Linked DNA regions of Tamandua tetradactyla. The protein of the gene in region 1 purifies or fractionates together with the protein of each later gene. This does not show direct contact. Links are inferred from orthologs where the notes say so. Each region holds a gene or a part of one and is shown on either strand. Other genes may lie near its edges.

Region 1 (7,433 bases):
TGATTGTATAATGATACAGCTTTCACAATGTGACTGTGTGATTGTGAAAACTTTGTGTCTGATGCTCCTTTTGTCTACCTTATCAACAGACGAATAAAATATATGGAATAAAAATAAATAATAGAGGGGACAAATGTTAAAATAAATTTAGGTTGAAATGCTAGTGATCAATGAAAGGGAGGAGTAAGGGGTATGGTATGGATGAATTTTTTTCTGTTGTCTTTTTATTGCTTTTTCTGAATCGATGTAAATGTTCTAAGAAATGATCATGATGATGAATATGCAACCATGTGATAATATTGTGAATTACTGATTATATGTGTAGAACGGAATAATCTTAAATTAAGAATGTTTGCGTTTGTTTGTTATATTTTTTTTAAAAACTAAAAAAAAGCACACCCTGGTCATCAGGCAAGCTCCTGTCCCCAGGTCAGCCCAAGTCTGCTCACTACCATCTGCTCCCAAGGCAAGTGGGGGCGGCCTCACCTCAACGGGGTCCACGCCATCCTCCTGAGTGGGAGGCACGTAGAAGCGCACCTCCATGAGCGAGACCTCTGCATCGTCGTTCTGGTGGAATTCCAGTGTCACCTCGTTCTTGCCCGTGGTGCACTGGGACACATTGCTGAGGGGTATCTCGAAGACAGGCTGGTCGCCGATGTCAAAGGAAAGCAGCTGCCCTATAGGGAAGGCATTATTAAGCCACATGCTCCTCCCCTGAACAAAGAGCATTTCCACCAGACCGTAAGTTCCGTGAGGAAGGGGAACTGGGGTTATTTTGTGCACACTGGCGATATCCATAAAATGCAGGATGAATGCATGGACTGACCAGAAATCGGAGACAGTGGCACAGGACAGAGAGCAAAACGAGTCAAAGACCAAAACCCTTCATCCTACCTTCTCCTATAAACCAGTCTCTCCTAAAACTCACCGCCAAACTTCACCGTCCCCCAGTTCCAGCCCTTCACACAGAGGTCCTTCTCCATTAGCTCAAGGCGATAGTGAGTTTTGAAGAAATCAGAGAGTTTCTCAAACTCCTGTGGATAGAGGAGAAAGAGAACCTCAACACAGCCTTGAATAGGCTAGGGTTACGTATTCACAAGAGACTGTCCCGGTACCCCCTGTGTCAAAAATCCATGCTAACTTAATCTCAGCTGTAAAGTAGTTTAAAGAGATTGTATACAGGGAATGGATCGCAGGCTAGAGGAAGAGTAAAGTAATGAACTGACATTCCTGTTTATGAGACTTAATAGTACTAGCTTCTTAAACTTTGTATAGGTGTTACTTTAAAGGAAGTGGCAATTAAGATAAAGAAAGTCTTCCAATCTGAAGCAACTCCAAGTGGAAAAATAAAACAAAAGCATCAAGCCAAGCTTCTCAACCTGGATTAAGAAAACAGGTAGAAATCATCTAAATAAAAACAGCAGGAAATCTTAAAGAAACTCACCAGACTTGAACAGCATAACAGAACCCTGACTGTTCCACGGCCTCAATGGCCCAGCTCTAATAAGCTCAAAATAGCAATACTATCGGAAAGTCCCTACTCTCTCTAAAAGTTCAAAAATATACAAGATAACACAAAAAAGGAGGCTATTTGCATTAGGACATCTCACCGATTCTCGGAAGCCATCGTATTTGTAGACGTGGCCGTTCTTTGTGAGCAGTTTAAGTCCATGGCCTAGAGCTACACGACGCCAGATGCCTTCCGTCAGCTCCCCAGCCTGGATATTGTCCACTTTGCCCGTCTTGCTGTTCTTGAAGATAATGCCTTGGCGGCTCAACCTCAGCCGGCCATCGTTCTGTCGGGAAAACAGGCCCAGAGAGGTGGAGATGGTACACACTGGGTGCCATGCATGGTCCCACCCAATGCCCTTTATCGATGCAGGAGCAACACCAGAAGTCGTCAGGGCCAGTGAGAACAGACAAATAGGAAGAATGGATCTCATCTCCACTCTGGCACCCAAAGCCCTGTGGGTCCTTAACTGCCTCATCTCTAACAGCGGGATTTGGAACCGAACAACCTATAAAATCCTTTCTAACCCTGAGATCCAAGGAGTCCCTCTCAGTGTCGTTCCTCGTTGGAGAAGCACCAGACACACATAATATTTTGAATCCTCCTCTTCCATACTAACCACATTATCAAAGCAAGCCCTTGTTAAAGCACAAACTCTCTACCCCACTTCCAACCGTATTAAAAGTTCAAGCCTTTCTCACCATTGAGCCTTTCACCTCCTGATAGATGTCGTTGAATTCCAGGGTCTCTGCCATGCTGATCTGGCCCGCTGGCCTGGGCACGAAGCCCTAGGCTGCACAAGGGGGAGCCAAAAAAAAACTGGGAGCTGAGTCCCAACTCCTCGGTGCGCGTCCAGTTGTTCCGCAAGTTGGGAACCTAAATTCAAAAGGACAGACCAGCACGAAAGACATCACTGTGCTCGGGGCTGGGCCGAGGTGGCACCCGCGACTGGCCCTGGGACGTCTCAGGATCTCCCCTGCCTGGGAAGCTTCAGGCAGCCTCTGCGGGGTAAAGGAGCCAGGCCCGGCCCGAGAACCGAGGCCCGAAGGAGCGCTTCCACCCCAACCCGACCCTAGCTCGAAGCGCTCCCCTGGGCGCCATGGCAACGAGCAGCGGAACTCCAGGGCTTGCCAGGACCCCACACCTTGCCCGGGCCCCCAACCCAGCTCAGGCTGCAGAGTTTCCCTCCCCGAGCGACCCGCGCGGCGCGGCCCCAGACCCGCGTCTCCCCCTCCCCCCAAAATGGATTCGCCCACTGCCCGCGGATTCGAATACGGAACGGTCCATCTCGAGCGTGCCGCGGGGGAGCTGAGCCCGCCTCCCTGGGGGACGGGGACGCCGGCCACCTACCTCCTCGGGCGGCCACCTCACGAGGGCCCCGGCACGGGCGGTGGGCGCGCTGGGGGGCGCAGGGGGAGGGGGAAACGGGGATGGGAACCTGGGGGCTGGAAGAGGGACGCAGGGGAAGCTTTCCCGCGTGCGCGGCCCCGCGTCCCGCCACCGGAAGTCGCGCTTAGACCATAGAGAGGACGAGCGGGCTAGAGAAGCGCGAGCCCGGACCGCCTGTGAGGCGGTCCCATAGAGTGTCAGCCGCTCTGGAGGACCCGAGGGAGTCGTTTGGGGGCTGAAGTCCGCTTACCCCGGGGGGGTGGCAGGGGAATGGAATCTGACTCCAGGAGGGAAGTGCTTCTTTAGGAAGTTACAGCCCCTTCTTCAGGGGAGGACTGGATTCTAAAGGGAAATTGTATAGTTTTGTTTTATCAAGACTTTGCACGTATGCGTGTGTCCGTGCTGCGGTGTTGCACGTCCTTCCACTGCACGAGAGTGGTTGCTTTGGAGCGGAGAGGAGTCTCTGGAACCTGAAGGAAAAGATTTAAAGAGCTGTGGCGAGAAACGACCCCTCCCACTGGCTGCACAGAGAATGCGGGCGTTGGTGTTGTGACCATATGGCTCTCTGGCTGTATCCCCGGTCCAGTAGGGCTGGATTCTTTTTGAAATTTCACTGTCTGCTCCCAAAAGCCGCACTCAAAACGGCAATTGATAGGCCCCCCCGGAAGAGGCTGGCAATCGGCGGTGTCAAGTTCCAGCGCTGGTGTCACATGCACCGTAGAGCCGGAAAGGATTTGAAATCCCATCAGCCTGGGATCGCGGAAACCGAGCCGCACCGTGCGTCTTACAAAACCAGGGAAGGCCAGACCGAGAAGAAATGTTGCTCTAATCCAACTCCTTCTGCAGATGAGAAAAGTGGGACCTTCAGGGGACTTGCCCAGGATCTCAATGAGAAACCTGGAGGCCAGAACCCAGGTCTTCTTGAATCGCGATTACTCCACATTCAGAATAGCTGATGAAGTGTCTTATATGAAGACATTAGGGTAGAATATTTAAACCCAAGATTTCCCTGACAATCTGACTTCAGTTACACCAGCTTGCTGTGATAAAGGACAACAGAAATACACCATGGCCCCCTGATCTCATGGCTTCAATCTCTGGGAAATGGCTGTTGCAACACAACCTAGCAACATAAGTTCATTGAATTCAATCAACACGTACTGAAGACTTATTATTAACCCAACACACTTCCAGGCTTTGAGAAACCAGTGAACAAGATGAAAACAGCCCCAGCTGTCAAGGGGCACGTAATCTAACAAATGATCCAAATAACTAAACCGATAGTTTTTTTAAAAAAAAAATGTGATAACTGCTTTACTGCAGGTAGAGTTTCAGCCACTGTCAACTGAGGTTAGAAATATGTGACTCTCTACTCACCCCCTCCCAGGGAAATATGCAATAAACCCCTCCCCCTAACCCATGCTGTTGGGGGAGGGGAGTGGGTATGGCTGCTGAATTGGGTGGTTTTAGGCGTACACTCAGAAATGAAGGGGTTGCTCCATTCAGGCAGGGTGTTAGGTGGCTGGAGGATAGGGCATAGTAAGAGACTTGGGAGAGCATGAAGCAGCTGCTGAGCTAGGACAAAGATGCAGCGTAAGAGAGCAGAACAGAGATGGTAGACAGAGTGCAGATAAAGCACGAATCCCAGAGGGACCTAACCAGCTGCATCCCAGGCAATCAGGAGCCCAGGATTAGAGACCCCACCCCTGCCGTGACATCACAGGGGAGTGGGGTGGAGACAAACAAAAAGGGGGTCTCCCCCGCCCTGGCCCTGGGCTCTTGGCAGCCTAGAACGTCAAGTGCAGAGAGAGCCTGGACCCTGAGCTAGAGTTGCCTAGCTTAAAGGAACGGGGTCCCTGCTCCCCGCACCCCTCTAAGCTGCACCATCCCCCCCACCCCTCATCTCCAGGCCTCCATCTCTGTCTCCCTGGGCTGAGGACCTCTCCCTCTTGAGGCTGCTGTTAGGCCCCCTCTGGGTGGCCCCTGGGCATTCTCACCATGAACTGCATCTCAGACTTCTTCACCTATGAAACCACCAAGTCGGTGGTTGTGAAGAGCTGGACCATTGGGATCATCAATCGGGCGGTTCAGCTTCTGATCATCTCCTACTTTGTGGGGTGAGTCTGTGGCCCTTTCGGTCCTAGGAGGGGAGGGTCGCCTGGTCTCGCCCCCTTCACCCCGCACCATGCCATGATCCAGCCTGCTGGCCTCTCCTCTTGTGGAGCAGTGCCTTCAGTGGAACTGTCCTAAAGGACCAGCCCCGGCTGTCCACACCCAGGGACTGGTCCCCAGCCGAGTTTGTTTGTTTTTTCCCCAGTAAATGCTCCAGAGTTGGAGAGCAATTCCAAGACATACCCTCTGAGGTATGGGGTCCTTACCCTGGCACTGCCCCCACCAGGAGAGGTCTCAGGTGCTCCATCTCCTGTTCCTCATCCCCCCCACACCCACCCCAGGAAATAGGCGGACCCCACCTTCTACTGCTCTCAGTCAACTCTTTGGGGTCTCAAAAGACAAGGGAGCCTGGGAAGGGGGATGGGAAGCCACAGAAACAAAGGACATAGTGACAGGTTGATCAGGTTGGTGATGGGGTGGGAAGGAGGGTCAGCCGAGAGGATTTATTTTAGAATGAGGGATTCCCCTTCTGGCCCCGGGGAGATGGGAGAGAGCTTGGAAAGGGGAGAAGCCCTTGCTCTTGGGCAAATTACACTGAGGAAAGAGTTACTGAAGAGTTTTTCTTCTGAAAAAAAAGTCTGGGGACCCCCTCCCCCACTCAAGAATCCAGAGACGCTCCCCTTTGTCAGAAAGCACAAATTTCCCTGCTTATACCCAAATTTGTGCTACATACCCCATCCTGGGATTTGCTTAAGAGCCAGTAAGGTCTCAAAACTCCCACTAAAGTCCCTCTAGACCCCCACTTCTTGGAGGCACCCCACCACCACCACACGCGTGCACACACACACACACACAAATAGCCATGGAGCAGACAATGATCAGGAGAGAAAACACAGGTTCTTTTCTTCTTGTGATCGTTTCCATAAACTGGTGGGCACCAGGGAATACAAGCAGAACCGTTGATGGTTTTCTTTGTGCAGGTCTCTACTCTCATGCTTTTCCTCGAGACAATGGGTGTGTGTGTGTGTGTGTGTGTGTGTGTGTGTGTGTGTGTGCATGTGTGTAAGAGACATGGAGTCGTGACATGAGTTAGTTCAGGCAGTCAAAGAAGACATTCTGTGTGCACATGAGCCGGGGCAAGTGTGAGGATGTGGGCAGAAAAGTGTGTCTTAAGCGATTTTTTGCTCCATGTGCTTGTGAGAGCCAGTGGGCTTTGATTATGTGGGTGTTATAGGCGAGGCTGTACATCAGGAGCGCCTCGAGTATGTTAGAGAAGAGAGTCGAGCTTTCAGAAAGAAGTAAAAGGCCTTGAGGTTCCCTCCCAACTTTGAGTTTTTTGAAATAAAATGTTTGCAAATGTTGCATGTCTCCACCTCCAGGGCTTGGCTCAGAGTTGGTTTTTGAATGTTCCATGTTCACGTGTGTATTCGATGCTGTGATTGTTTATAATCACAGATGGTATGTTGGTCTCAGTGAATGCAAAAGCTGCCTCGGCACATTCCAGCCTCGCCTGGCTCCGTTGGTCCCAGGAGGGACATTGATGGATGGAGGACACAGACAGCTGGCTCCTGGACCAGCAGCCCCTTCTGCCCCCACCGCCCTTGTGTCTCTTATCACAATCCCATGCTCAGGGCTGGAGCCCAGCCTGCCCCCGAGCAGGAAAGGCTCTTTGGCATTTTGATACCCAACCCCATCTATCTCAGTCTGACAGTTCCCCAAGGAGCAGCTCCTTCCAATTACATCAGCTCACTCTGCAGCCCACCCCCCTGCCCCAAACCCCATCTCCGTGCACATGCCCCGTCGTAACTACATGAATCCATTGTCATCCGTTTAGCAAATATTTATTGAGCGGGTCTTCATGCCAGGCATTGTACACCCCCAGCTTCAAATGGTGGGCAAGGCAGATAAAGCCCTTGTCCTCGAGGAGCTTACAGTATAATGCAAGAGACTGATGCTAAGCAAATAATATCTGCAAACAAATGTAAAATCTCAACTGTGGCTCAGGTTTAAAGAAGAGGTTCACAGTGACAGGAGAGCCTAACATGGAGGTATTTGACCTGATTGGGTAACTAAAGGAAGATTTTCTGGAGAGAGTCCATGTATGTCAAGATCTATAAGAAGAACCCAGAGGGTAAGAAGGGAAGGTAGGGGTTCTCTGTGCAGGGAAAAGCTTGGCAAATAGGAGGTAGAAGAGAAGGTCATTATGGCTGGAGTAGAGGGGCAAAGGCCGGGGTTGTGAGTTAGGGTTGGGGACATATTCAGGGGCCAGAGCTCAGACACCCTCGAGGAGCTTTCATTTTTACCTAAGAATAAGTAATGGAAAGCTACCGAAGCCTCTAGCATGCGCGTATGTTTACGTGTGTGAGAGAGAGAAAGACAAGACTTTTGGGCTGGAGAAATGACTGTGGCTGATCCATTGATG
Region 2 (7,375 bases), on another chromosome or scaffold:
GTATTCTGGAACAATACTGATTGAATTATAAAGAAAACCAAGTTTTAATATTATACTCTAGAAATATTAAACTATTCCAAATTAAGTAGAATTAGACCCTGTGGAGAGGGGACTGAAAATGTAAACTTTTAACAAGAATACAAGGTGATTCTACTAGAACTAGAGTTTGAAAATCTGTATCTAAATCTAAACAGGAAGAGTACAAACTCCAACATGGTAAGGGGCTGCAACAAAAGCTGTTTTGTTTGGCCTACAGTACGGACCTATATCTATACATTTTCTTTAATTATCTACAAATACCTAATACTAGAGAAATTTTACACACACACACACACACACAGACTTCTCACTTAAAAAAATAATACATACATACATATATATCCTTCAACATTGGTCCTGTTCTCTACTGCTGAGCTAAGTACATTTTGCTGCCTTTTCACTCTCCATCTTTTCCTATTACCTTCCCCCCAGGCTCATTGTTCACCATCTCAATTTTGTGCTTAGTCTCTGTAGGTATTGTAGTTTTAACTCACAATGCCTTGAATCCACAAGTTGTTCAGGATAATGAAGAGTAGAAATGATCAAATGAACCCCATTTATTTAGTTATGAAATACATCACCTCAACTTTTGCTTCAGCTAGTATTAAAATCTGTTTGCAAGGAGAAAGAGAAAAATACTCAAGTCAGCAAGATCAGGATAACATTTTTTAATTCATTGAAGATAACACCAACCCTTTTTAAGAGGTGTCTTTTAAAATATAATTTATTAAAGACCTTTTTCTTAGTCTTCCACTAGAGTACATAATAAAAATAGTATCTCTCAATTTAACTACTTTCCTTGAACTCTTGCTTTCAATACAAACACAAAGATAAAAAATATTTGGAGATTAGAATTATGTAGACTATTTTGAGAAGTCTAAATTTGCAAACCTGTCTCAGAATCAAGCATCAGAGCTTTTATAACCCATATTCTCATTCTGCAGGTCTAAATGTCACTGCCGGGCACACAATAAATCTTAATTCTAAAGTGATGCAAATCTCAGATCATAATTGGTTACCAGACTATTTTCCCACTTAAAGTTTAAATAAAAGAAACCTTAAAATGTATCTAAAAGTTAAGAACTAAGATTTAACTTTAACCTGTACTAACTTTTCAAGAGGTGGGCCACTTCAATGTTGAAGAGCAAATTAGTGTGAAGGATCTGTAATTGCACCCTACTTGCAAGTTAATGAAATAGCCTATCACGGTAGAATGCTGGCAGAAGTAATGAAGAACAGTTTATTACTTAAAACAATAGCATAAGCCAAACATGAGCATTTTTTGCACTGGTTGCCCCAGCCCCAGTTCCCAGAGGGTAACTGAAGAGGGCGGGTTGACACCTGCACAGGCAGCAGTTGTGTTACAGAAGAGGAACCCTATGCTTAGGGAACCTCAGTCTTTTATGTGGACAATAAACATATGTGCCACTATTCTCTATTTTCCAAATATCCTTGAAAAAAAAACAAGATGAAACAAAGGGCGTATCTCACAGACATGACGTGCAGAAACAGAGATCCATGGTGTTTCTCACAACTAGCACAGCTCCTGATATTTAATTAATTAGACTCTAAGACCACAATCTCTTTGGAGCCTCAATTTTATATACCACTTGACCTCAATTATTTAATTAGCATTTTCTCAAATTAATTCAACTATTCTCTCTAAGAAGTGCATATTTAAAATAATTCCCCATTTCCAGTTATTTGGTATTTTTAAAAAGTGCTCAAGTATTTTCAATATTAAAATTTTAAAAACTTCAAGCATTCTATTAGAAACAAGTAACTACTATGCTTATAACTTACTTTAAATGTTTCAAACCTGTTAACACGAGCAACGGGAACTACCTGTCAAAAGTCTCATTATACAGTAACAAACACCACAAAAAGAACTGTAACTTAAGCATTTCCAGCTGCTGTCTTAAAAATACTGGAGAATCTCTGCCCCGAATCACTTTGGATTGTTCTATTTTTCTTCACCGTTTACCTTCTAAAAATAAAACCTTTGAAAGGGAAAGACAAAACACCGTCTCTTGGTTCCTTTGTCCCATCAGAGGGGAGAGAAGACAATTAGACACGCATTAAGGTAACGAACCCAAAATACACAAAACAGGAAATAGACGGCATCCAACCTACAATCAATCATCAAATAAAGACCGCATCACTTAATCCTTATTCCTCCCTTCCCCACTCCAGTTCAAATAACGTGGGTATATAGGAGATGATTAGAATCAGATGGACCTGGACAAAGCTTTCGGTATACAGCGGGCAGCAGCAAAGAACCCGAGATACAGACTACAGCACAGTTCGAGAGGTTTACAAAAGTCCGGGTCACATGGGCCACCCAACCCTGGAGGAGAATGCTCAGAAGCAAAAGGAGCAGCAGCTTTGCCAAGTCCTCAGCACCCACGGAAGTTGCTCGCGGAACGCGCGGAACGCTGCAGAGCGCGCTGGCCCACCATGTCACCGCCGCCAACACAGACCCTCCTCCTCGCCCCTCCCCCGCCGAGCTCCCCGGCGGCGGCGACGTGACAGCGGGTCCCGGCGCACAGAGGCGCCCGCCTCCCCGGCCCGGGCTCCCCCACGCGTCCACGGTCAGCTCTCACCTTGGGTGACGAACGGCGATGTGCCACTGACTGGCGAGCCAGAGGCGGGAACGGGCGGCGGAGTCTCAGCCGAGCCCAGCATCGGTGCAGGGAGCATAAGGAAGCGCTGGGGCACCGGCAAGCAGCGCTGGCAGAAGGAATGCAGGCAAGGAAGCAGCTTGGGCGCCCGGCTCTGGATGTTCTGGTGGCACACGGCGCAAGTGTCCAACAGGTTGAGCCGGGCCGCCTCGCCCCCGCGCTCCGAGTCGGGGCCCTGCCGACTCTCGGCCTCGTTCTCTCCGCTCGGCGCTGCCGAGGGCCCCCCCGTGGCCGCCGAAGCTGCCGCCGCCGCCGGGGCCGCCGCCTTCTCCACAGCCACCTCCATTGTCCTGCCCCCGCCGCCGCCGCCGCCGCCGAAGAAGGGCGAGCGCGGTCTCCGCCCGCAGCCGCCGCCGCCGCCGCCCCCGACGACCTCCTCCTTCTCTTCAGAGACCGCTCTGTAGACCCTCAGGAGCGAGAGGGAGGAGGGGAGGAGCCGGGCCGAAGAAGCTTCCTCAGGCCCCAGGGATCCGCCTCCCGGGTGGCGCAGCCGGAAGACCGGGATCTGTCAGCCGGGACCGTTTCTCGCACCGGGAGGCTGCGCCCCCTCCGTTTCGCCAACCGCCGCGGTGCTCGCGGAATCCGCCCGGCCCACCCTAGCCTCCTCCCTCACGCTCCGCTGCCTACCCGCCTTTCTCTCCTACCCCACTGCCTACCTCAGTTCCCGCCCCCGCCCTCCCTCTCCCAGCAACTGAGGCGACCGCAAAGAGCGCACCGGCCAATAGCCGCCGTGCCTGGCGAAGGGGTGGGGCCGGGCGAAGCCCGGGAGGCTCACTCGGCCCCCGCGGGAGGCTGGGAGGTGGGAGGGCAAGTGTCCAGCTCCGCCCCCTCGAACTCCGAGAACTGCGGCCTCTGATTGGGCCTTTGTGGATGTTTAGCTCTCCTGAAAAGATTAAGGGTTCGTTTGTTAACGACGAACCACTTAATTCGATCTGCTTGTGTTTGCCCCTCCTACGGGGCGGAGCTCCATCGTATCTACTCAATGCCATTAATTAACTGCTTCAAAAACTCTTATTTTACTACTACTGGAAATGGGGTTCCTGTTAGGGTAAAAGGAGAATGAAGTGAAGGCAGTGAAGAACAAACAAGAGAATAACAAGAAGGGTGGAAAATTATTGTGTAAAAAAACCACTAAGGCAGCATTGATTTTTACCACCTGAATTTACCCAGTATGATGAATATTTGAGTATGAAGATTAAACGGGGACTTTTTCTTGCCAATGGGAAATTTTTTGATGATTTCTCCAATGAAAATGATTACATTTTAATGTCAATGATTTGCTTTTTAAATGAATCTTTATAGTGCATTTTCCAGGGATTTTATGAATTAAAATCCAATGATTGCAAAAAAACTTTATTGAACAAAATATCATTTTTCTTTAAAAAAATAAAAATAAATCTCAAAACTGATGTCCAACTAATTCATGACTTCAATATTATTCTTCTTCTCCATCCTGTAACAGAACGCACATTTTCACTAAAAAATGTCCACGCGTATAAGGAACAGGGTGGTAAAACAAGCCTATGTACCAAGTAATGTAAGAAATTAAAGTAAAAAAAGATTGCTCCTAAGTGCCTTTTTTAATTATATTTTTTAGTATAAATGAAGAGTTCTGGACGTTGGAGGAGAGTGGCATGGGATCAAGAAAGGCTTTGTTAGGATATGATCCTGGAAGAATACATTGAATGGCAATGGGTGAACGCAAATTCTAGTAATCGGTCTTCCCACAAGACCTAACAATTTCCCAGTTATTCTCCACCTACCACTCTCTTTCCTAAGCAGATTTTCAAATCTAGTATCCATAAATTACTCCACCATGAAGTTCTACTTAATGACATTCAATATTTATATATCATTATAAGGTGATCCAGAACCATCCTTACAGTACAGAGACCTATCCCAAATTTATTTGCTCACTTATCAGTCCCTCTATGATTATTAGCCCTTATTACTTACAGAAGATTGTGTTACGTAGGCTAGGGAAAAAAAAGTGTTAACTATAATCCCATTCCTTTGGGTGCACGCTAATCATAAATAAGACTTTTGAAAATGTTATTTGTAGTTAAAGTGTGGCCAACCGAATTAGTATTGGTCTTAATCAAGTTTACTGATGTCCTTGATGAACAAAAGAAATAGAGAAAGCCACAGGGATGAGCCAGAAGGCAGGCAGAAGTTGGAAGAGAAAGGAGAAGACATCACTATGTGATGGGAAAACCAAGGAGCCCCAAGGATTGCCAGCCTGGCAGAATACTACTGACCCCAGGAGAAGCAAGTCTTCTAGCCCCCAAACTGTGTGATAATAAATTCCCATTGTTTAAGCTAACCCATCCTGTGGTATTTATCATAGCATCCTGGAAACTAGGACACAACCTAACTGAACTTCCAGACTCATCCTTACTGCTTTCCCATATCTTGCCTCAAACAAATTGGAATACTTGCCATTTTCTAAACTGTGCCACCATCACTATCACCAGCTCTGAGAGAGGAGATAAGAGTTGTTTGAGTTGGAAGAGAAAGGAGTCGGTGAAAAGAGCAAGAGAGTTAGATACTAGTGAATATCTCCTTTTCCTCTCTCAATTGTTTGCATGCAGGTGTTCAGTATGTTTCCATTTTTGCTTGTTTGCATGCAGGTGTATGGCATGTTCTATTTTGCAAGAGACCACAGGCAGCTAGGTGATCTTGAATCTCAACCAACTGCAGCTGCTTGCCAGGGCACAAAGGTAGCCTGATGAATACTTGCTCAATCACCCTGTGGGTATATAAAAACTGAATACTTGGGCAGCACAAGCGTCCCTCATCTCTGATCAAAGTAGGGCATGTGGAGCTGCCATCCACTTGCCTTGACCCAGACATTTGACCTCCCTTGGCTTGAAGCTGCCCTAAGGAATTTATCCTGACCCAATTTTTGTGGGAGCAGTCAAATCTCTTTTAATCCTGATGTAATATTGTGGGGCAGAAACTTTAATTGGATTACTTACATGGAGATGTGATACACCCAATTGTGGGTGTGACCTTTTGATTAGATGAAGATCTGACTTTGCCCATTCAAGGTGGGGTTGCTTACTGCAGTCCTTTAAGAGGGAACCATTTTGGAATGGTCAGGAAGATACTTTTTCTGGGGAAAGGCTGCTGGCCTCTGGGGTTCCTGTCACATGGGAAGGCAGATGGCGACATCTGCTGGTCCTTCTCTCCTGGTTCTGGTTTCAATGACTGTCTCCAAATGTCTCTGGGAGTTTTCTCTCTAAGCTCTCTGGGCTTTTAGTGTCTTTTATCCTCTCTCAAAGTACTCCAGAAAAGGATTAGAATTGGGTGGGTCACATCTCCGTGTAAACAACCAAAGCAAAAGTTCCAACCCACAATAGGTCTGCATCCACAAAGATGGATTAAAAGAACATAAGCTTTTCTGGGGCACATAACAGATTCAAACCAGTACATGTGTATATATATTTTGTTTATCCATTCAGCAGTTGATGGAAACTGCGTTGCTTCCATCTTTTGACAATTGTGAATAATGCCACTATGTATATTGGTGTGCAAAAAGTCCCTACTTTCAATTCTTTTGAGTATATACCTAAAAGTGGGATTGCTGTATCATATGGTTATTCTATACTTAGCTTTCTAGGAACCTCAAACTTTCTTCCACAGCCAATGTACCATTTTACTATTCCACCAGCCATGAATAAGTATATCTATTTCTCTATCCTCTCCAGTACTTATCTTTTGTTTTTTAAATAATAGACTTTCTAGTGGGTGTGAAACTGCATCTAATTGTGGTTTTGATTTGTATTTCCTTAATGGCTACTGATATTGAGCATCTTTTCAAGTGCTTTTGATAATTTGTATATCTTCTTTTGATAAATATTTATTCATGTCTTTTGCCCACTTTTTAATTGGGTGTTTTGTTGTTGTTGTTGAGTTATAGGATTTCTTTATATATTCGATATATTAAACCCTTATCAGCTATGTGGTTTCCAAATATTTTCTCCCATTGTGTAAGTTGTTATTTTATTTTCATGATAAAGTCCTTTAATGCACAAAGGTTTTTAATTTTTAGTGAGGTCTCATTTATCTATTTTTTCTTTTGTTGCTTATGCTTTGGGTGAAAAGTCTAAGAAACCATTGCCTAACTCAAGGTCCTGAAGATGTCTTCCTATGTTTTCTTCTAAGAGTTTGATAGATAAAAAAAAACTAAATATAAGAGCCAGAACTATTTTGAGTTGATTTTTGTATATGATGTAAGGTAGGAGACTACCTTCATTCTTTTGTGACTGGAGATCTGATTTTCCCATTTGTTGAAGAGACTTGTGGTGGTTTGAAACGGTATGTACCAGAAGAATGTGTTTTTATAGTTAACCCATTCCTGTGGGTGTGAACCCATTGTAAGTAGGACATTTTGGTGAGGCTACTTCAATTAACGTGTGACCCACCTCAGCCAAGATGGGTGTTATTCTTATTACTGGAGCCCTTTACAAGAGAATAAAATTCAGACAAAGAGAGAAAGAAGTCATAGGAAGCAAGAAGCTGAAACTGAATGTGAGAGAAAGGAAAAGACCAGGAAATGCTGCCCTGTGCCTTGCCATATGACAGAGGAGCCAAGGATCACTGGCAGTTAGTCCCAGATTGCCACACTACTTGGGAGAAAAAGTATCACCTTG
Region 3 (7,700 bases), on another chromosome or scaffold:
TGGTACAGACACAGTGAGGTCTCTTCACAAAGTCTCATGGGATGGGATGGGAGGAGAAATCATTCCACCTTTCCATTTTCATTTAAATATACCACATACATATATATTCTTCATGTGCTTTTGGATAATAATTTGTCGTCAACATTGACTCCACTTCAAAATATCATCTAAAAATCTGAACATGAACTGGGTTTTAAATATTAACAGAATTATTTTTACTTTTGTTAACTGTGATGAAATAGTGTTTATGTAAAAAAAAAGTTCGTATTTTTAAGAAACGCATACTAAAGTATTATACAAAGTATGATACAACGCTTCAAATTTGCTTAAAAATACTTAAATCAAAAGAAGAGAAGGAGGAAAAGACATAGGAAATGTAATAAAACCTTTATAAATGTTTATTATAACAGAGATGGGTATGTATATGGAAGTTCATTAAACTATTCTACTTATTGTATATTTGAAATTTTTCATTAAAATTTTTGCTAAATATATTCAAATAGAGAATTAATCATATTCCTATTACACAGTTTGAAAGATACATTTAGAAAGTTTGAGCTCATTCTCTAAAGACGGTGAAAGACTATGGCTATTAAGGAGCAAAAGTATTTTACTCTTCTTCCAAAATTACAACAGTATTCAAAGACTTAAATATTTGCCTTCAATACATGATGTCAAATATACATTGACAGATTTGAAAACCACTAAAAAAGAAACTCATTAAAACTATTACTTCATCAACTTGTGTAATTATTATTACAGGTCATTAATAAGGTGAACAACAAATGCAACTCTACTGGTGCTTTAATAATTTCAGTATTAAAAACCACCTAGCAACTTAGGTTATAAAATCAACTATTATCTACATTCAGGTAGTTTTGAAAAAAGAAAAAACATACCTGAATAAATTAAAGAGGTCTCTTGATGAATTCACTAATGCAGTTTCCGTAACCCACTGAATGCCAAATATTTCCACTACATCCTCTTCAAAATTAATTGGCAAAGGATCAAGATTCAAAATTAATCTGAAATGAAAATTCTGATTGAAGTTCCATAAAAAGTATACTAAATACCATAGTATAGCATGTCTTTTTGACATTAAATGAATCCATGTTATATATAACCAGCAATGATGTTACAAAGTCAGGAATATGTAAGGCTTTGGTACCTTACAGATTCAGGTTTATTATAGCTAGACTATTTTAAAAATTCAGTAGTACACAGTGATTAAAAAGTATAACTAAAGAGTAATAACTGAGAGAATAATTTTAAAAGGAGCCTAGAGAACATATTTTTGCCTGTCTTCATTAGTGGGAATTTCATCGTTGTTGTAGAATTTCATTCTTTGAAAGGACAAAACTGATTTTTAAAAAAATAGGCAAATATTATTCTGAGCCATGCCTAGTGAATAGCACAATCAAGTTAGGTAATCTCTTTTAGGGTCTCAAATAATACAACTATAAAATCAACAAAAATGGTTTCCTTTCTGAGTGAAATTGATCAAATATTCAAGAACACTCAAAATACTTCAACAGTTTTACGTGTGTATATCTACCAAATGCAATGAAAAACAACATTTCTGTGAACCAGACCATTTATTAGAAAGTTTAAAATAACTACACCTGTATGACTTATATATATATATTTAGAGAGAGAGAGAGATAAAGTTAGAAAGAATTAGGGCAACAAAAAATGTGTGTGGGTTACTTAAAAACTACTGAGAAGCCTTAGAATATGATCTCATTCTTTAAAAGGAAATTCCATTTTAAAAAGCCCAGGCACTTCAGAATATATTTTAAGTAAAAGGAAATTAGTGCCCAGTTCCTTAGCCCAAATGAGGTAGCACCAAATGTGAGGTTGCGATGAGATATCAGTTACAAAGGAAACTCTTAAAATGTAAAATACTTTTAGGTATGCTCTAACTAGAAAACCAGTCATAAAACTAATTATAGTCTGCACCCGTGTGATATATTTAGCTGATTTACAAAACACGTCTTGATGAAAATTAAAGTTTAATTATCTGATATCACAACTAAGTATTTCCTAACAAACTGATTCATAATCCGATGAAAGAAAGCCTCTGTTCACCTACCGCTTAAGAGCTCCGCTGGAAAGGTAGGACTCTCCAGAAAAACTTCTTCCTTCTCTGTTGTCAAAATCGCAAGAAAAGCAAGGGGGTTTGCACCATTCTCTCCCCAGTTCCAACTCCAAGCTGTCCGTCAGGAACGATGACGTAGGGGTACAGCTATCCATTATTTACTTCATGTCCTGAAATGTTTGAGGTTTAATGTGATTTTCATTAGGGGCTCCAAAGAGAAGTTTTTAAGAGATTGGTAGAGGTGGGGCGGGCCAAGAAGTTGGGAGTTACTTCAGAAAGGTCCCAAAGAAGTTAAGAATCTTGAAAAGCAACTGCGAAAACGTGCCCTCCGGCGCAACAGAAAAAATCGCCACGACCCCCGGGGGTAGCCAAGTCCTCGGCAAGCTTCCTGCCCGCCCCCACCTCTCCGAGATCAAGGCTGTCGGGACCGAAGACAAAATACACCTCCACCGGCTCTGGTAGGGACTTAAAATCTATCCTTCCAGGTCAGACCCTGCAGCCCGAGACTGAGTGAAGAGGGAAGAAAGGGTTGCAGGACAGACTCAACTCTCCATCCTACCTCGAACTGCGCCCTGGCCTACGTTCCGGAAAACAGCACCGAGCGTCTCCCAGGCGCACAGAGCGCTCCCTCGCAGGCTCGAAACAGGGAAAAGCACGGCAGTGCCGGGTGCCAACGCTCCACCCTTCCCCGAATCCCTGGACTAGTCCCGCCAAGAGGGAAGCCGTGCGCCGCGCACGGCGGCAGCCGAGCTCCCAGGGGCGACTCCTGCCCACGACGCATGTCCTACCTGGCCACACTTCCAGGCTCCAGGATCTGCCCCCCGCCAGGCCCGACCACAGTCCCGGAATCTTTGGAATCCCAACCCGGAACACGCGAAATTCCCGCCGCGGCGCGCGCGCGCTCAAGGGAGGCGGGTCCCCGGCGGAGCCCGCCCTCCTGGCTGGTGGCCTTCTCGCGAGGTCTGCGCGGGAACCGCCGACCTATCACGAGTTCTCGCGAGAGTCTGGCGGCCGGAGCCTGGGTAGCGCGTTACGCTTTTGTTTTGTACTGCTGATTGGCGCGTGGGGTTTGTAGGTGGGCGGGGCCTAGCTGGCGAACCAAACTGATTCAAAGACCCTGGTGGTGGAATCTAGCGGGTCTACCGGAGTGGGATCTAGGGGGTCAGCGGGAGGATCTTCGGACGCGGCCCCAGGAGGACTTTTTCACACGTGGAAGGCGCGCAGGCTTTTCTTCCTGCCCTAGTGCCGACATTTCATTTGCTGTGATAACGGTGTCTTTTGCTAATGGATTGTGAGCCAGGCGAGTGCAAAATTGTGGCTAGTCCAGTGTTCGGAAACACTGACTAGGTCAGGTGACTTGCTTTCGATATAAAATGTTCCCTTTCTTTGCGACATCTCTGCACAAACAAGTTTAGGTTTAGCACGCTTTTGTAAAATGATAACCCATTACCAATTTTTTCTTATCTTTCTAAGTGGCTTTAAAATCTACCCGGGAGACTGTTCAATCTAAGCCAACGATAACCCATTTCAGTATATCTCCACCTTGAATTCAAGAAAAACAATAATTTCTCAATCAAATCTCCTGCTGTAATTTGAATATTTGCTAATGCCCGTTTCTCCACAGTAGAGTTTCTCCCGCGTTCAGTTCCTGCATAGCTAACCAATCATAGCTCTTTCTTCTGTTAAAACCAAATACCACATATTTTCTGACAAATAGGCTGGGATTTGGGGAAATGGAAAAATCCCAGGAGAGATCTCTTTTCTGACCACAATCTGGGTCTGCTGTAGTGGATATTATATCTACTCTGTTTAATTGATGTACCATGAGACCTGAGGCTTTGATGGGACCTCTGCAGCTCATTTATAGTCCACATGGAGTCTCTAACATGACACATAGTGTCATCCACAGAGATCCCGAGGGAATAATGCCTAGAAATGAGAATATTGTGCCCCGGCCCGGAATTTGGGAGAACGGGGTCAAAAGATAGTCATTATCATGCCTTCCTCTAGTCAAAACATCCAAAAATAGTCCCCTCTTTCTTTTTTAAATACCTGATGTTAAATGGTCAATTGGTTGAATCCAATGAGTGGGATGAAAAGAACCAAAATAGGCTCTCTATAAATTTTTTAAGCTGGTATAGAAGTGGTACTGCAACACGTTATCAGTCAAGATCTTTGACAGGTGTTTTAGTTTGTTAACGCTGATGAAATACAATGTACCAGAAATGGATTGGCTTTTTTTACAATCCATTTATTAACTTACAAGTTTACAGTTCTGAGGCTGTTAAAGTGTCCAAATCAAGGCATCAACAGGACAATACCTGGACTCTAAAGACAGGCTGCCAGCATCCTCAACTACACTGTCACATGGAAAGGCACATGGCTTGTCTGCTGGTCTCTCCTTTCTCACCTGGGTTTCATTGCTTCCAGCTTCTGACTTCAGGGGCTTCCTCTCTGAGCTTCTGTCTCTCTTAGCTTTTGAATTAACAATGAAAATATAGTATCAAAATTTGTAACATTAACTGGTGGCACTAAACGTCCATCTTAAGAAACTAGAAATAAAAAACAGCAAATTAAAATGAAAAAAGCAAAATAGAGAAAATAGTGATAAGAGCAGAGATCAATGGAATGAAGAACAGAGGAACAATGGAGAAACAAAAGCTGGTTCTTTGAAAAGACCGGTATAAATCATAAACCCTTTACCCAGACCAAGAAAAATAGAAGACACAGGCAGCCAATATCACAAATTAAAAAGGGGCTATCACTACTTATTCTACAGACATTAAAAGGATAATAAGGGAATATCAAGGATAATAAGGGAATATCATGAACGTCTTTATGCCAATAAATTGGACAACATAGAAGAAAGACAAAAACTGATGAAGCTCGCAGAAAAAAACGATAAAATGTGCTATTGGCATAAGGATAGACATAGTCAATTGGAACAAGAATAGAGAGTCCAGGAAGAAACCGTAAAAACATATATCGAGTTTCGGCAAAACTGCCAAGGTAATTCTATGGGAGAAGAGTCTTTTCAACAAATGTTCTGGAACAATCGAATACTGATAAACTAAAATATAAGCTTTGACATCACTTACAAAAATTAACTCAAAGCTGATCATGGACCTAAATGTGAAAGCAAAAACTATAAACTTTTAGATATTTAGAGGGCTAGTAAATGAATCAGGACACTTTTTCATTGTACAGGATTGCAGATTATGCAGATAAAGATGGGTAATGTTGGTGAATTGGTGGTAGGAAGTTGAGGTAGTTCTTGTTTTATTTCCTCTATTTTCTCTATGACACATCAACTAGAAGTGAGAGGAAAGAGTTGTTAGAGATTTGAAGAGATAAAAGGTATAAAATAGTCACACTGGTGAGTAAAAAAAAAAGGTGGACATACCAGGAAAGTGTAGTATGGATGTCTGGGAATCAGGTTTGTGTTAAAAAGGTAGAGTTCAGACATCATGATTTTGTGATTTTCTCCAATAACATTCAGCTATTTGGTGAAAGAGTCGTGAGCACACGATAGGATTTAAATGTTTAATGATTATGAGCCCATTCTGACTTGTTTAAAATGTATTCACAAATCATTTATTTATTTGATTCATTCTTATGTTGTCATCTATCAGATTCAAAGTCAAACAATTTAATACATATGTCTTTAGGAGGGAAACGTTTTACAAATCCAACTGAACATAATATATTCCAGTGGTTTAAAGCCCCCAGTTTCAGGAAGTTTATCACCTTCTTAATTGAAAGCTTTTCTAAAATTTAAGACCATGTCTTCTTATAGCTTAATGGAAACATGGCGCACATGATCACTTTACTTATTTTTAGTAACTGCTCTTAAGCTTAGAATTGGATTTAACATTTTAGTAAAATCTGACCACTACTAAATCCAATTCTAATGAAGTTATTATCCGATTGGGCATCATGAGGGTACGCTGAGATAGCTAAACTCAGTTATGGCTTTTAGGCCTGTGCTATTGAAAATATTAAGTTATCTCTATGGCTATCTATCTTAAGTGTGTATATAACCCACCTCAACTGACTTTCTGTTGACCCATAGTACTTTATTGCACTAATTTTGTGTACAGATAATGATCTCCTAACTCCTTGGCACAGATACCATGCTTTAAAAAAGTACTTTGGTAGTTATGTGGAGGTTTAGTTAATTGAGAAGGAGCAGCTTACTACATTATGAAAGGAAACTTCATGCAACTCTTCAGGGTCCCAGGTCATTAACAATGCAACACATCTCAACCTTAAGCAAACCTGTGCCAAAGAAAAATACCATTTTTAACCCTCATTCTCTCCGTTTTTCTGTATCTTAAGCATCTTTCCCTGCTGTATGTGCTCTTATTCCATCTCCTTCTACCTCCAGAAGCTTAAGCTAGCAATTACCCTTCTGCTTTTTCGCCTTCAATCTCCTCTTCTCCCTTTTCTTGTTTCCCTAAGCCTACTATGGCAGGCAACTTCAAAAATAACTCCCAATAATCTCTGCTACCTGTTATTAATGCCCGTTTGTAATCCTCCACCTTTGGTGTGTGGGCTGAACCTAATGACTTGCTTTTAATAAATAGAATAAAGCAAAATATGATGGAATGTCTCTTCCATGATTAGGTTACAAAAGACTATAAGTTCTCATCTTGCTAGCACTCTCTTTATCTCTCACCCTGGCTCTCTCTTCCTCTTGCCTCCTAGACTTGCTAGCTTTAATGAAGCTAGCAGCTGCATTAGGCTCATAAGGCAAGGAAGTGAGGTAGGACTCTGGCCAACAACCGGTGACGTTCTACCATCCTCAGTCTGACAGTCTTCAAGGAACTGAATCCTACCAACGACCACATGAGTGAGCTTGGAAGGTATATCCACCCCCAAGCCTACACTTGTGATGGCTAGGCCTGGGCAGACTTTACAGATGGCCAATTACAACTTTAGGAGCATTCCCTGCTGACACCTTGATTGGAGACTGTGAAAGTCTTAAAGCAAAGGACCCAGCTAAGCCATACCCAGATTCTTGAACTACAAAAACATTGTTTCAATGTTTCAAACTTGTTGTTTCAACACTACCTTTAGTGTAATTTCCTACACAGCAATAGATAACAAATACACCCGCTCACATGCTATAAAACAGAAAAGCGAAACAAGACAAACCTTGCTCGTGACTATCTGAATAACCCCATGAGTTCTATGGTCAACCAAATGGAGCCAGGCTTTTCTCAGGTCTCGGTATTTTTCCCTCACCACCTTCTCTCACAACCACAGTTTCAGTTACTAACTCAATACAAATGACACTAAAATTTATCTCTCTATCCAGAACCTGTCCTCTGAGCTGCAGACTATAAATAAAATTCCCTACTTGGTATCTTCTCATAGATGTCTCAAGAACCTTAAACTTGATGGCTAAAATTGGTTATATCATTCTATCTCCAAGCCAGATCCTCATACCAGTATTTCTAACTTTATGAATGATATCACATGAATCCCGTACTGAAAGCCTGAGGCTAAACAGTAGTCCACCTTGACAGCCTTGTCTCCCTCAGCCCCATTTTTAATCCATCACCAAATGTTTTCAATTTTGCTTAAATTACTCCTGAAT
Region 4 (7,667 bases), on another chromosome or scaffold:
ATGATTGTCCCCTCTACTATTCTTTATTTTCTACAATATACACCTCATTTTTATTTAAAACAAATTTAAAGTTTAAGGGAATGGGAGGTACAGTAATGACACTGCTACAAAGATAGCCCTGATGTAAGAAGGACCCACACAAACACATACTGTTCTTTTTCAAAATACCTACTAGGGTGAGGATGTGTGTGGAGTGGGGTAGGAGGCAGGATCAAAGGAATGACAGCAACAGTACTAAATGTCTGACACAAAGTAAGCAATCCTCTTAAAACCTGGGAAAACTACATAGAAAGAAAAGGTTTTCAATTTATGTGAAAAAAACATTCAGCTCCACAAAGGCCAAGATGAAGTCCAGAATAGTTCTAAAATGACCACAGATAATACCAAAAGGACCCCCCTTTCTGAGGAGGCAAGTAACTGACAGCTGCTTCCTTGCCGCACAAGTGAATACTTCCAGACCAGGAAGAGCTGGCTTCCCAGAACTTCACCTCTATTCAAAGTAAAGGAGATTAATACACCCATACCTATAGAACTCCTCCTGTATGGTGGTGGAAAGTTGCTGGTTAAATTGCTCCAGGTCCACAAAACTCACAATCAATGTGTTTCTCTCAGGACGAATCAGCTCCTCTGCTAACTGCAAGTACTTTATTTCTCCATCGCTGCTCTGGAACCTGCAGATATATACACATCAGATTAAATTAAGGAAAAGGGGAGCAGTAGAAAGAATCTGAATGCTGATAGTTCAGTGTATTGCTTAAATATCATCCAGCTTTAGACTCAGAAGTTATTTATTCCTCTAAACCTGCTTCCTTTAAATAAGAAAATGTTCATTTTTTAACAGATAAGGAAAGATCACCCATTTCATGAGACAGCTGCTAAGATTAAATGAGAGAATGCCTATAAACATAGGAAAATTAGGTCTTTGGGTTTTAACATAAATTTCTTGACTGGAATGTGTTATTCTATAATTATTAACTATTACTAATAAAATGTTCAATCAGGATATCCACGTAAAAGCCCAAAGGCCTAAATTTCCTGGGGAATTTGAAAACTAATATAAAATCAGAATAAAAACAAAGTGTTTCACTGTCTAAGACCTCAGAGAAATTGAAATACACATACATGCACACAAAAGAGCTGGTGAAATTTTTTTCAAGAGTTGCCTACTTTTTTTTAACATAATATGCAGATTAATTATGATAGAATTCCATCTTCAAATATAGGATGTTCTAACTCTCTTAAATATTTATTGAACATGTTGCCAGAGGCACCTGAAGCTGAAAATGAGTGCTATTTCTGCCCTAGAGTTTACACTCAAGACAGATATATAAACAACTGAGAAAGGGAAGAAAGTCTTCTTACTAAAGAGAGGTACAAAAAATGCAGTTAGTATAAACTAAGTCTGCCTAAAAGAAAGGCTTTCTACATATCTAAAAGTGTCACTGGAATTCAGGCTTGGAAGATGATAAAAATTCCAAAGAAAAACAGGGGTCCTGGATAGACTCTCTATGCTTGCAATTATTTTGCAATGTCGGAGATGATATGGGAGGAATTTGAATGACAACTGGAGCTGACTGTGGGAAATAAAACCGGAAGGGGCACTATGAAGAATTTGGACTTTATTCTATGGTGATGGGGAATCAAAGTTGGCTTTTCAAGAGGGAGGCAAACATTTTTTCTCAACAAAGTACAAGGACTATTTGTCTTGTTCATTGCCATCCCCAGTACTTAACAGTAAAGTGAAGGAACCTAAACTATTCGCTGAAACAAAATATTTATTGAGGACATTTATGATGTGTTGGGTAGGTGGTGCTGAGGATGGGATTCACACTCAAAATGAGCGGCTGACAGGTAAATAAAAGTAGCCACATTACCAGAAACATACAGGAAATGGTAACCCTGGGAACATTAGGGAAAAAGGTATGAATGGTGCCTGGGTCATGAGGGCTTCACAAAGGAGATACAGGGTTGAGCGAGTAGCTGTCAGGCAGAGAATAACAGTGCTAAAAGTATGGATATATAAATCTTAAGTTTAAGTATGTCAGAATTTCAATATTCCGAAGTCCTGGAGGCAGGTCAGTCGAGACTCTTAGGGAGAGTAGTGATGTATCTTTACTATGCAAGAAAGCGAACAATGGGAAAAAAATCAGGGGAATGGGGTTATGGGAAACCAGAAACCTGGAAGAGTGGGAGGGGTGAAGGAAGGAAATCAGGCAGAAGGATGGGTGTGTTCAGCTGCCTTTCAGCAGGGCGGAGCTCACCCCCCCATCGAGCATGTGTCAAACTTGGTCACAGCAGAGAGATACACTTTCGCTCTGGTACTTTCATCTCCAGTGGTGGCCAGGAATCCCGGTGGCCCCACCAGTCTTCTGGCTGGCTGTTCAATCAGAGTTCTGCCAGGACCCAAATGCCACTTCTGCCTTTCACTCGACCAGGCCGAGTCGTGTGGCCTGTTTGGTTAACCTCATCGAAGCTCAGTTTTTGCATCCGTTAACAAGGGGCTAAACTACTACCGGCCTTCGAGGGTTGTAGCGATAATTAAACCATATAAGGCAAATGCTTAGCGCAGGACATGCAGATCAACAAGTTTGAATAAACACTCAAAATTATTTTTCTTTTAAACCAGCCCTGTCCTCTTGAGGACCTGGCTCGGAGCTTAAAACCGGGCAGAGGGCGCTCCTCCAGGGCGCGCGATTCCTCAGCCCCCGAGGCGCGCGCCCCGCCCGAGCCCGGAGCGGAGAGGGCCGCGAGGGGAAGTTACTTCAGGGAGGGCGCCCCCGGGGCTGGCGGCCGGGGAAGACCCAGGCCTGCCGACTTACTCTTCCAAGAAGTCCAGGAACAGTTTCTGGCACTTCTCAGCCACCTCGTCGCGGACTTCCAGGTGCTGGGAGCCAGCGCCCGGCTCTGCGGCCGCGGCGAGGTCCATGGCTGCCTAGCACTTTGGAGCTGCCGCCAACACTAACACACTTCGCGACGAGCTACCTCTCCCCAGGCGCATTCGCTTTGCGCGCGCTGGCGCAGCTTTCTCCCCGCCCCCTTGCCGGACCGGGACGGCGGGAGCCAATCGTGGCGCAGGAGCTCTGAAATTTCGCGCCAAGCCTGTCCAATGAGAGGTAAGTTCTCCTGCTGTCCCGCCCACTAAGCGGGGATTTCGCGCCAAATGCAAATACCTTCTGGAGAAAGCGGTGGGGGGTGGGTGGCTTTGTCTTTGCGCCTGCGCAATGTGTCTGCAATGTGTCTGCGTCCTTGCGGTGTTCGGCTTCTTGAGCTGGTTAAAAGCTGGGATCTTTGTCTGGGTGGCTGGTCAGATGTTCCTCAGATCATTCTATTGATATTAATTGAGCAGTAGAAATAAAACTCTGTGGGAGAGAACTATAAGTAAGATTCAAAGCCCTACTTGAGCTATCTGCTTGGAGGAAATAAGCTGTAAACCGCCGGATAAAAGCCTGTAGAAGAAAAAAAATAGTGAAAACAGAAACTAGCAGAGCTGAGCTGTGCAACAGTGAGCAATGGCGGGCAGTTACTTAGATTAATGCTGACTGGGGAATATGAGCTAAGTATTTGACACCGTTGGTTGATCCCTTTCTTAAAACGAACTGTTATTTTGTGCGCTCGTGGGTTTGCCCTATGTGGCCGTCTTTCTCCGACTCTTTGATTTCCCTTGGGTTTTCTATCTCTTCAGCTGTTCCCCGTTACCTCTTTTGCAGGCTCCTCTTCTTTAGCGAATCCCGCGAAAATTCTTTGAAGAAGCACTGTTGGCTTCTTTACGCTGATGATTTACAAATGTGTATCCGCAGCCGCCACTTTTTCCTGGGCCTCCAAGAGATTAAGAGAAATCTGGACCACTTCCGTATTTTGACGCTTTCATTATATTAGAAAGATTTTTAAATGCCAGATAGAGGGATGACAGTTATAGAAATTGTTGTTTTCTAAATCTTGGATGTTTTATTTCTGCTTTTTTTCAATAAGTAGAATAATAAGCGTGGATTAAGTCAGTGTACTTATTTACCCCAGGTCCCCTCCCCACTCTTTTTAAAATTTAGTAATTGTTTTAACACACATACACAAATATACTCTTCTCAAGATATTTACAGTTTTTAGCAAAAAAAAGCTACTTGTTGTGCACTGTAGTTTATCTGTGATTGTGTGTATTACCTCATTGCAAGGTGATGGGAGCTTGAGGCCCTGTATCTCTCAGCCTTTACCAGCTCCAGACTGTATATCCACCTACTTAATGGACATCCTCACCTGTATGTTTTGTAGGAACCTCAAACTCAACTGCTTCTTAGATATTCACAATCTCAGTGCCCCAAAATATGTCCACAAGGTATCCAGGAGCAATTTCATAACCAGATTCTGCCTCATCCTCAAAAGGCCTCACTTTTTTCTTTCCCATTTTTCCTTTCCTCTCTTCCTCGTCTATCCTTGGTAGATTTCTGAGAACTCAGATCCCATGTACAGAAGGAAAAGACCAAACATGAGAGAGCAGACAGAGTTCCAGGCTGACCTTAACAGCTAAGCTCTCTGAGAAACTCAGATAAAGCCTTTTGCTTCAAGATAAGCCTCCATTGCCTCACAAGAATTGAAGCTGTAGCTCCCTCTCTGGGACTTGGTCACACCCCCAGAACCTCTTCCCTAGAAGGTAATGTCATTCCTTTTCTCAGGGTTTGCCGTATGCCTCATATATATATATATATATATATTGTTGTCTGCTTGAGCTTACCATGCCACTGTCTTTGGGTGGTTCTGATAACAGTTTCCACTGCCAGCAGCATGTGAGGAAACATCAGAGGTCATCTGGATTTACCTCATGAAGAGTTGGAATTGCTAGTGGGAACTGAGTGGGAGGTGGAGGTAGGGGAGGAGGGAAGAAGACCCTTGGAAAAATTTTGTGGCTGGAGAACACAGGCCTCCTAAGTATCTTAAGTCTGTCCACTTCTCTTCATCCCCATTATTAATCATTTTATTTAGGCTACCATCCATTTTCATGCATATTCCTAGGAATTCAGTTACCTCTCTAGTCTGTTTACTTAGACTTATTCCCAGCTCAATCCACTCTCCACTCTGCAGCCAAACTAAACTTTCTGAAATATAAATTGGGGCCTTCTGATTAATATGACAGATTGAAGAGGTCTTTTTCTGTTTCCTTTGCAATCCTAAAATGACAGTAAATGAATAAAATCGAGTATCGATAGAGAGAGGAATAGAAGACAACAATAGACAGAGAGCAATCAAATTTTAGAGGACAGAAAGGGAAAGCATGGATGATAACTGTCCAAGCAAAGCTGAGAAAGCTGAAACCTGTGTCTTCAGAAGGCAGTCTTTGAGAAGGACCAGATAGCCAGGGTAACAGTCAACCAGTATGCACTTGTACAGCTTGTGCCAATTTGAAAGGATATATGTACCCTAGAAAAATCATGTTTTATCCTAATCCCATTTTGTAAAGGCAGCTGTTTCTTCTAATCCCTATTCAGTACTGTATGTTTGAAACTGTAATTAGATCAACTCCCTGGAATGTTTGACTCAATTAAGAGTGATTGTTAAGATGGATTAGGTGGAAACATGTCTCCACCCATTTGGGTGGGTATTAATTAGTTTACTAGAATCCTATAAAAGAGGAAACATTTTGGAGAATGTGAGAGATTCTGAGAGAGCAGAACGACAGAGCCATGAGAAGCAGAATGCCCACCAGCCAGCAACCTTTGGAGATAAAGAAGGAAAATGCTTCCTGGGGAGCTCCATGAAATAGGAAGCCAGGAGAGAAAGCTAGCAGATAATGCCATGTTCGCCACATGCCTTTCCAGATGAGAGAGAAACCCTAACCATGTTCGCCACATGCCCTTTCAGTCAAGAGAGAAACTCTGTGTTCACCATGTGTCTTTCTACTTGAGAGAGAAACCGTGAACTTCATTGGCCTTCTTGAATCAAGGTATCTTTCCCTGGATGCCTTAGATTGGACGTTTCTATAAACTTGTTTTAATTGGGGCATTTTCTTGGCCTTAGAACTGTAAGCTAGCAACTTATTAAATTCCCCTTTTTAAAAGCTATTCCATTTCTGGTATATTGCAATCCGGCAGCTAGCAAACTAGAATACAGCTGTACATATTAAAATGCAATATTGAAATAGTTTCTTACTATTTGGTAAATCGCTACTGTCCTGAGCCTCCTCCAGCCCCACCCACCATGCAACTCTGCCACCCACCAATCCAGTTACTCTCCAGGCTCCCTCCACCCCAAGATCTCACAATTCAGGGAGTAAGGGAGCAATGCCTGCCTGGACGCTGCATCAGTTCAATGGCCTGCATCCATACTGATCGTTGATACTTTATCATACCAGTTGATAAATATTTTTACATTTGAAATCTAATTTGTTGGGTATTAGTATAGCTACTCCTGCTCTTTTTTGATTGTTATTTGCATGAAATATCTTTTCCTAAACTTTCACTTTCAACCTAGGTTTATCCTTGGGTCTAAGATTTATTTCCTGTAGACAGCATATAGATGAGTCCTGTTTTTTAATCCATTCTGCCAGTCTATGTCTTTTGATTGGGGAATTCAATCCATTACCATTTAGTGTTATTGCTGTACAGGTAGTACGTTCTTCTACCATTTTGCCTTTTGGATTTTATATGTCATATCTAATTTTCCTTCTTTTTACCTTTACTTATAGTCTTCCTTTTTACACTCTTCTCCACACCTCTCTCTTCTGTCTTTTCGTATCTGTCTCTAGTGCTCCCTTTGGTATTTCTTGCAGAGCTGGTCTCTTGGTCACAAATTCTTCCAGTGATTTTTTGTCTGAAAATGTTTTAATTTCTCCCTCCTTTTTGAAGGGCAGTTTTGTTGGGTATAGAATTCTTGGTTGGCAGTTTTTCTCTTTTAGTAATTTAAATATATCATCCCACTGTCTTCTCACCTCCATGGTTTCTGCTGAGAAATCTACGCATAGTCTTATTGGGTTTCCCTTTTATGTGATGGATTGCTTTTCTCTTGTTGCTTTCAAGAGCCTCTCTTTCTCTTTGACCTCTGACATTCTGATTAGTAAGTGTCTTGGAGTACGTCTATATGGCTCTATTCTGTTTGGGGTACGCTGTACTTCTTGGATCTATAATTTTAAGTCTTTCATAAGAGTTGGGAAATTTTCAGTGATAATTTCCTTCATTAGTTTTTCACCTCCTTTTCCCTTCTCTTCTCCTTCTGGGACACCCACAACACGTATATTTGTGCACCTCATATTGTCATTCAATTCCCTGAGTCCCTGCTCATATTTTTCCACTTTTTTCCTATAGTTTCTGTTTCGTGTCAGATTTCAGATGTTCCATCCTCCAGTTCACTAATCCTCTCAAAACCTACCATTGTAGATTTTGTTTTTTTCATCTCTTCTCCTGTGCCTTTCATTACCATTTAGCCATTCCGTGATTTATTTTTTTGGACTTTCGATTTCTTCTTTTTGTTCATTCCTTGCCTTCTTTATATCCTCCCTCAATTCATTGATTTGGTTTTTGATGAGGTTTTCCATGTCTGTTCGTATATTCTGAATTAATTGTTTCAGCTCCTGTATGTCATTTGAATTGTTGGTTTGTTCCTTTTACTGGGCCATATCTTCAATTTTCCTGGTGTGATTTGTTATTTTTTGCTGGTGTATAGACATTTAATTACCTTAACTAGTT

What was found.
Region 2: the proteins of SSRP1 (region 1) and TRIM24 purify together in Homo sapiens (affinity purification with mass spectrometry; 3 studies listed by BioGRID and IntAct, with this or other methods). This does not show direct contact. The link is inferred for Tamandua tetradactyla from reciprocal best matches to the Homo sapiens genes SSRP1 and TRIM24.
Region 3: the proteins of SSRP1 (region 1) and MMS22L purify together in Homo sapiens (affinity purification with mass spectrometry; 3 studies listed by BioGRID and IntAct, counting the BioPlex papers as one, with this or other methods). This does not show direct contact. The link is inferred for Tamandua tetradactyla from reciprocal best matches to the Homo sapiens genes SSRP1 and MMS22L.
Region 4: the proteins of SSRP1 (region 1) and MCM6 purify together in Homo sapiens (affinity purification with mass spectrometry; 4 studies listed by BioGRID and IntAct, with this or other methods). This does not show direct contact. The link is inferred for Tamandua tetradactyla from reciprocal best matches to the Homo sapiens genes SSRP1 and MCM6.

Annotation. Positions count from the first base shown.
Region 1 is NC_135335.1:20,253,504-20,260,936, reverse strand, and holds the start of SSRP1 (FACT complex subunit SSRP1), read right to left. Parts: upstream 3,009-7,433; 5' UTR 2,861-3,008; intron 2,387-2,860; 5' UTR 2,266-2,386; coding exon 2,212-2,265; intron 1,797-2,211; coding exon 1,611-1,796; intron 1,035-1,610; coding exon 929-1,034; intron 678-928; coding exon 487-677; intron 1-486. Other genes in the region: P2RX3 (P2X purinoceptor 3), read left to right, coding at 4,898-5,016. UniProt on the Homo sapiens protein: Component of the FACT complex, a general chromatin factor that acts to reorganize nucleosomes. The FACT complex is involved in multiple processes that require DNA as a template such as mRNA elongation, DNA replication and DNA repair.
Region 2 is NC_135327.1:181,411,221-181,418,595, reverse strand, and holds the start of TRIM24 (transcription intermediary factor 1-alpha), read right to left. Parts: upstream 3,007-7,375; coding exon 2,643-3,006; intron 1-2,642. UniProt on the Homo sapiens protein: Transcriptional coactivator that interacts with numerous nuclear receptors and coactivators and modulates the transcription of target genes.
Region 3 is NC_135331.1:154,686,188-154,693,887, forward strand, and holds the start of MMS22L (protein MMS22-like), read right to left. Parts: upstream 3,009-7,700; 5' UTR 2,887-3,008; intron 2,757-2,886; exon of another isoform or gene 2,658-2,756; intron 2,269-2,657; 5' UTR 2,254-2,268; coding exon 2,093-2,253; intron 1,026-2,092; coding exon 900-1,025; intron 1-899. UniProt on the Homo sapiens protein: Component of the MMS22L-TONSL complex, a complex that promotes homologous recombination-mediated repair of double-strand breaks (DSBs) at stalled or collapsed replication forks.
Region 4 is NC_135329.1:105,540,106-105,547,772, forward strand, and holds the start of MCM6 (DNA replication licensing factor MCM6), read right to left. Parts: upstream 3,008-7,667; 5' UTR 2,927-3,007; coding exon 2,820-2,926; intron 672-2,819; coding exon 525-671; intron 1-524. UniProt on the Homo sapiens protein: Acts as a component of the MCM2-7 complex (MCM complex) which is the replicative helicase essential for 'once per cell cycle' DNA replication initiation and elongation in eukaryotic cells.